Schizosaccharomyces pombe: one gene and its partner. The gene in region 1 interacts genetically with each later gene. Each region holds a gene or a part of one and is shown in the gene's direction. Other genes may lie near its edges.

Region 1 (3,757 bases):
ACCGAAGAATGATTTTGAACAATTAGAAAAGGACAAGAAGTCCTTTGATCAGGTTGAGATTAGTGTGAAAGAAAAAGGCTCTACATATGAAAGAAGCAAGGTTGTAATTCTCATATATTTGGGTACTGAAAATGATTTAATTGCATTGGAGCTTTTACTTAAGTTTTTGTATGAAGAGACGAGTATAGCCTATATTTACACATATGATGAATTCTATAAAGATGATTATGCGACGTCATTGCCTAATGTCGTTTACACAAGTGAAGTGCTGTTAAGCAAGCATAATGACTCAGCTTTTAAGGTATGGCCGAAACTTCGAAAAAACATTCGAAAAATAACTAAGCCAAACGGATTTACAACAGACCAGCATTCTCAGACCTTTATTCCTTCTCAAACACATACGAAACTCGATTTGAGATTATCTGATGTAACAGATAGTGTTCGGTCGAGGATTAATGTAGTAAAATTTGGAAATTTAAACTCACTTTTGAGTTGTCTTCATGAACTTATTCAACCTGCAACCTTGACCCCTTCTTTCGAGACAGAAAAGAGTATAACCATGTTTTTAGGCTGTAGGGATAAACAAGCTGTGAGCGAAAAACTTGAGGTGGCTGCACTGTCGGAGATGAAGAAATTGGGTTACATTGAGTCTAGCTCAGAATTTGGTATGCTTGCAGGTTTAATTCCGTTAGTGCTGTTGAGCAATTTTCCATTAATAGATTTCTTTTTAGGGAAGGCACCTACAAAGATGGTTCAAGGTTATTGATTAATTTCAGGTTTTTATTGCATCCATCTCATAATTTATTTTTAATTAATGATTTAAATGGTTTTCATAATTTATTTGGAATCCAAAGGATCGACTATATTATTTTCAATGTTAGAATTAATGCATTCATCTCTATTCGTTATTCGCAATGTAGAAAACTTGTTTTATACCTTAATAAGAAGAAGTTACTTAGGGTTCTTCTAGTTTTTGGCTATATCGCGATTTATCAAAAAGTGTTATTTAAGAGTTGAATAGTTTACATTGTAGACTCATCTTCCTTCAAAAACCCATGTGAGTTTAAACCCTTATTGGTTTCGTCTGTTTAAACCGATACTTTGAATTTATATCATAGCAAGGGTAAAGTACTGTAGAACAAATGGAGTCAAGCATGCATGCGCATTTTTTACTATTTACTTCTTCAACATTATCTCCAATACATTTCGACTAACTATCATACAAGAAGCATATGAGAAATTAACATACCATACTCACTGCTATTGTAAAATGTATGGTATTCCTTTCAGAAGGTAGTTCGGTTCTTTCTCAAATAACTAAATACCTCTTCCAAGATGGAAAAGATTATAAAAGTAATCATTCAAAATCGATTTTATTAGCTCAATTTACACTCAGTCTGTTTTTCACAATTTTTGTTACAGTATGAATCTTTGTTACGTGGTTACCTTTTCGTATTCTGTTCTATGTTGTTAATACGCTTACTGTATTTAAACAAACTAAAATGCATGGGATAGCGCATTATTACGGTATACGTTAGTGACCAATATTCGCCATGATGGCTTGTTATATCTACTTAACTCTCATGAGCTGGTAATATCAGCGAAATTTCAAGCAGTTCGCGTTTTGCCAATTGCTCATAAAACTGCGATTTTTTAAGGATTGTATAATTAAATTCAATTCTTTAAATAATTGTGTTGCATTGTTACAGTGTTTGGTGGTTTCAATACGCTAATTGTAATTTTGATCTTTCTGATCTTGTTTTCTCTTAGAAGAGGAAAATAGGTACGGAAATTACTGAACCGATTGGGAATTACCAGGATTTATGACTATACTGCAGACTACTGGTTTTGCAATTGCAAATCAGTTGGACGGTATTTATCAGACGCTGGTTTTCTTGTTATCTTCATCAATACTATTCGGGTACATTCAATATCAATATCCTGTTAAATCCGAGGATTTCAATATACCTTTTCCAAATTTTTCCATATTTACAAGTTGAGGCTAAGCACTTATTGTCATAAGTTGGTGGACAGTCATTGCGCTGCTTAGATCATTCTGTTATTGAACCACCGTTTAACTCAACAGCCTGCTTCGCGCAAATAATATTTTCTTTATTGTTTCTACGGGATTTTTTTCATTTACATACCTTTACATTTTTGGTTTCATAAAAGAATTCTGTAGTACAGAATTGTTTATGGCACCATCTAACAATACAATAATTTACATTAAGAGAAACCTTTTACGTTTACCTTCGTTGGCATTGGAATAATTCATCTATTGATTCTTTACAGCTATGCAGCAAACATACAAACCAAACACCTCGGCCTTGAAAGACGGTGCTCCAAAGGCTACGGTGGATCAGAAACAACTATTACCTTGCAAATATCGTGTCGGTCGGGTTTTGGGAGGCGGAACATATGCGACGGTTCGTGAAGCCGTTCATATCGAAACTAACAAGTAAGTATATTTTAAATTCGAGTTGTTTGCTGACCAAATTTTCATAGAATGTATGCGGCTAAGATTATGAATAAAAAGATGATGGAGAAGAAACAAGACTTTGTAAGTAAAGACTTAAGTACTTACAGCATCCTTATTTACGTTTACTAACATGTTTTTGGTGGTATAGGTGAAGAATGAAATTGCAATTCTAAAACGTGTTTCTTATGAACATCCTAATATCTTACACTTGGTTGATTTTTTTGAAACTGTGAATAATCGTATGTCTCCGATTTCGATTTGATGAATCAAATGTTATTGTGATGTGTTTTGTTCACTAACCCTTGAAACAGTGTACTTAATCACTGAACTGGCCACCGGTGGTGAACTTTTTGATAGAATATGTGCCAAAGGTTCATTTTATGAGGCCGATGCTGCTGCTTTAATGCGTACTACCACATCAGCAGTTAAGTACTTGCATGACAATGGAATTGTACATCGAGATTTGAAGCCAGAAAATTTACTTTATCGCTCTAAAGATCCGAATTCAGATTTGTTAATTGCCGATTTTGGATTGTCCCACTTTTATGAGGATTCTCAATACTATATGCTCATGACGGCATGTGGGACACCAGAGTACATGGCACCCGAAGTCTTTCGTCGAACCGGATATGGAAAACCTGTGTAAGTTGATCAACTACCATTTTAATTCAGAAGTTATGTATCTTGACTAATACTGTTTATAGAGATATGTGGGCTATTGGCGTTATAACTTATTTTTTACTCAGTGGTTATACTCCATTTGCTCGACCTTCTCAGGTTGAAGTTATAGAAGCAATTTTAGCTAACGAGTACACTTTTAACGATCCTTGCTGGTCTGGCATTTCAGAAACGGCCAAGGACTTTATTAAAAAATGTTTGGAAAACGACCCTTCGAAACGTTTAACTGCTGCTGATGCGTTGAAGCACCCCTTCCTGTCTGAAAAGCGTCCCGCAACCTCCAATTTGCTTCCAAACGTCCGGGAAAATTTCAATGCAAGAAAAACGTTCCGTACTGCCTATAACGCTGTACGTGCTTTCAACACTTGGAAAAAGCTTGAGAATAAGCATTAATTATACACATCTTTTCTTATAACTTTCTTATTTTATCTTGTTATGACTTATGACTTCTTTATTATCTTTTGCCCTCAGTACATACTTTTTTGGTATTAACACTCTTACATGTTAAATATATTCTTTGTGATTTGGAATGCTTGGACCTATCATGTTCTCTACTTAGTTTTTAAAATAGCCTCATACAAAATGCTAAAAGTTATGTCG
Region 2 (3,757 bases), on another chromosome or scaffold:
CCGCAAAGCTCGCTATCATTAACCCAAAGGTTGCTGAACACATGAGTGTGTTGAGTAAAGCAAAGGCTGAAGGAAACAGCGAATTAATGATGCAAGCTACCACTCAAATCCAAAACCTTTATAAAGTTAACAATGTTAACCCTTTGAATTTGCTTTCTGCTCCTGTATTTCAGGGAATTCTGTTTATTAGCTTTTTTTACGCGTTGAAGACAATGGCGGGTGTACCTGTAGAGGGTTTCACTGATGGTGGTTTTTGGTGGGTTAATGATTTATCCCAGCCTGATCCTCTACACATATTTCCGGTTGCAAACGGCCTTCTTATGCTGCTCAATATAGAGCTTGGTAGCGAAACTGGAAGTAATAAGGTTGCTATGTCTCCCTCAATGAAAAAATTTTTTAGATTTCTTTGCCTTGCCAGTCCACTATTCACTATGAATTTTCCTATGGCAATTTTTATGTATTGGTTTCCTAGCAATGTCTTCAGTGTATTTCAAGGGGCATTTTTGCGTTCATCCACCATAAGGCATAAACTTGGCTTACCAGAAGTCCCATCTGCTATGCCAGTACCGAACGCTCAAAATGAATCGTTTGTTAAGTCATTTACCGATATTGTCCATGGGGTTCAAGAAAAAGGTAAATACCCACAAGCCTCTGAAATACTAGATGCTACACGTTTCCTTAAAACCGATACAAACAATGAGCAAAAACCTACTAATAATAGTACAATTACCAAAGCTACTACGCTATCTGATAATTCTCAAAATGACAAGTCCTCTTCTGTTACCAAACCCACCGAGAAGAAAGATTAAGCTTTTTTGTGTGCTTTGGAATTCTCTTTCTTAGAAGTGTTCCAATGTCCTATTGAGAGCATAAAAGTTTGTAAGATATGGTTAATTTTTTACATTTGTTGCATTATTCATTTCTTTCCTTTGGCTTTATCCCATAATTTTACATATGTTTTAGTTTTTGCATATATCTTCACACTTGCAACACTCTTTTCTATTTCCTTTACTTCTAATAAAATACCCAAATTTACATTTATTTTGCTTATTCTTTCTAAAAATCGCTTTTGTCTAATTCTTTACTACGGAAAGCGATGAGAAATCAAAGAATATTTACAATAACCTAAAATTTGACGTAGCCGTCTAAACAAAAAATAAAATGATTATTAACTCTTAAAGTGTTTTATGGATATTTATTTTATCAATAAAACTATCGTTATTTCAGTTAGGTAATCATGGAATGTAAGTTTCATCAAATCAACTTAGTTTGCTTCTCTCAAAAATGAGCAAGGCAATATAATTAGGAAGGAATTCAGGTAGTATTTGGGTTCCCTTTCTACAAGTTCATTTCTTATTACTAACACGATTGGTTATTAAGATATGTTTGTCTAAGCGGCGATTGTTTGTAAATTTTTAAATATACAGAAGTAAAGATTATGATGAAATATATCTATATTATAAAAAAAAAAAAAAGTACTTAGAATTGTAAACAGATATGTTTTTTGTTCACATGGTTCATTGAGAAAAGCAATTACGAATTTCTTTGCTTTTCGTTAAACCATTTTCCAAAACCGCCGGGACGATGTAAGTATAACAAACCAGAATCTACCAAAACTTTTTGCAAGAATATCTAGCATTTTACCCAGGCTGTATATAGGCTTGCAAAAGTTACTAATATGACTTCGGGTCCTCATAATTTAGAAGACCCAATAGTTCGAGCAATTCGCCAAAAAAATCAAGCTCCTTCTCATGATTTTACAATATTTGTTCAAGAAGATGGCTCTAGTGTTAGCACACTGGATAGAGTAGTGAAAAGTACGGATATTTTTGAAAGAAATTAGTCTTATTAACAATCAAAGATGTTCAAGCACCAGCAACTTATATTCCGACGGACGTGGAGTTTTTTGATATTAATGAACCTGATAAACCTGACTTGCATTTTCTTCGCAATCATTTCATTCGGGAAGGCCGTTTATCTGAGGAACAAACGTTGTATATTATAAAAAAGGCTACAGAAATTTTGAAGTCAGAAGACAACTTGATTGAGGTGGATGCACCTGTCACTGGTATGTTGATTATCACCTTTCATATTTAGGCCCTAATTACTATAAGGTAAAATATTAGAACTTTGAAATGTAATTTATGACTATGTTTTTCCTTCATTTTAATTTGGGTCGATATTTTGTTTGTATTGCAATATTCTTCGGTCTGACAGCTTAGTATGCGGTGACATTCACGGCCAATATTATGATCTTATGAAACTATTTGAAGTTGGAGGTAATCCAGCAAATACCCAATATCTTTTCCTTGGAGATTACGTGGATCGAGGATATTTCTCAATTGAGTGTTTATTGTACTTGTGGGCTTTGAAAATATGGTATCCGAAAACGCTTTGGTTGCTTCGTGGCAATCACGAATGCGCTCATCTTACTGACTATTTTACCTTCAAGTTAGAATGTACTCATAAGTATAATATTAAAGTTTATGAAGCTTGTTTACAATCTTTTAATGCCCTTCCTTTGGCAGCTATTATGAATAAGCAATTTTTATGTGTACATGGTGGATTATCACCCGAACTACATACTTTGAATGATATACGAATGATCAATCGTTTTTGTGAGCCTCCAACTCATGGGTTGATGTGTGATTTACTCTGGTCTGATCCCCTTGAAGATTTTGGATCGGAAAAATCAAACAAGCATTTTATTCATAATAATGTTCGTGGCTGTTCTTACTTTTATAGTTACCAAGCTGTTTGCACCTTCTTAGAAAACAATAATCTCCTCTCCGTTATTCGTGCTCATGAAGCTCAAGATGTGGGCTATCGAATGTATCGCAAAACTAAAACAACCGGGTTTCCATCTTTGATGACCATATTTTCAGCACCCAACTATTTGGATGTTTACAATAATAAAGCTGCTGTTTTGAAATACGAAAATAATGTAATGAATATAAGACAATTTAATTGTTCCCCTCATCCTTACTGGCTTCCTAACTTTATGGATGTTTTTACTTGGAGTCTTCCATTTGTGGGCGAAAAAGTTTCTGAAATGTTGATTTCAATGCTCAATATATGTTCTAAGGAGGAGCTTTATGAAACGGATTTGAAAGAATCGGCTCCGACTCAGCATAAACAGCCTGCTCCATCTGAGAATGAAAATAAAGCCGACCAAGAAATTGATATTGAAGCTCGTAGGCAAATTATTAAAAACAAGATTATGGCTATTGGCCGTATCTCTCGAGTATTCAGTGTGCTTAGAGAAGAACGGGAAAGTGTTTCGGAACTGAAAAACGTGTCAGGTACGCAAAGATTACCTGCGGGTACTTTAATGTTGGGAGCTGAGGGTATCAAAAATGCTATCAATTCCTTCGATGATGCTCGTAAGCTGGATATCCAAAATGAACGTTTACCGCCATCTAATAGCCGTCGACGTTCTACGGATTTAAAGGCTTTCGAAGAAGTAATGAATTCGTCTGAAGATGATACCTCTATCGATCATTTGGTAGAACGCTTTGCAGATAAGAAAAGCTCTTTGTAGATACCAAAACCTGCGCATATTCGTTTTTTAGTTGGAATTTTTCAATGAGCATAAACCTGATCCGAGGTTTTAAGCATACTTACAACAAATATCTAAACACTCAAAATAAAGAAAGCAAATGAGTTTACTTTAGCATAATACAAGATAACCGATGACTAGATACATAAGCATTGCATTTAGATATTCATAATAAACTTTTTGGTATTCATAACTATG

The links.
Region 2: of cmk1 (region 1) and ppb1, changing one suppresses a phenotype caused by changing the other (phenotypic suppression), as found in Schizosaccharomyces pombe (one study listed by BioGRID).

The regions. Positions count from the first base shown.
Region 1 is NC_003424.3:1,737,625-1,741,381, reverse strand, and holds the start of cmk1 (calcium/calmodulin-dependent protein kinase Cmk1), read left to right. Parts: upstream 1-2,081; 5' UTR 2,082-2,294; coding exon 2,295-2,458; exon of another isoform or gene 2,459-2,505; coding exon 2,506-2,560; exon of another isoform or gene 2,561-2,627; coding exon 2,628-2,718; exon of another isoform or gene 2,719-2,790; coding exon 2,791-3,121; intron 3,122-3,183; coding exon 3,184-3,550; 3' UTR 3,551-3,757. Other genes in the region: potassium ion/proton antiporter Kha1, read left to right, coding at 1-766. UniProt on the Schizosaccharomyces pombe protein: Important in cell cycle regulation.
Region 2 is NC_003423.3:2,872,319-2,876,075, forward strand, and holds the start of ppb1 (calcium-dependent serine/threonine protein phosphatase calcineurin catalytic subunit Ppb1), read left to right. Parts: upstream 1-1,603; 5' UTR 1,604-1,678; coding exon 1,679-1,817; exon of another isoform or gene 1,818-1,861; coding exon 1,862-2,068; exon of another isoform or gene 2,069-2,222; coding exon 2,223-3,541; 3' UTR 3,542-3,757. Other genes in the region: oxa102 (translocase Oxa101), read left to right, coding at 1-809. UniProt on the Schizosaccharomyces pombe protein: Calcium-dependent, calmodulin-stimulated protein phosphatase. This subunit may have a role in the calmodulin activation of calcineurin. Appears to be involved in cytokinesis, mating, transport, nuclear and spindle pole body positioning, and cell shape.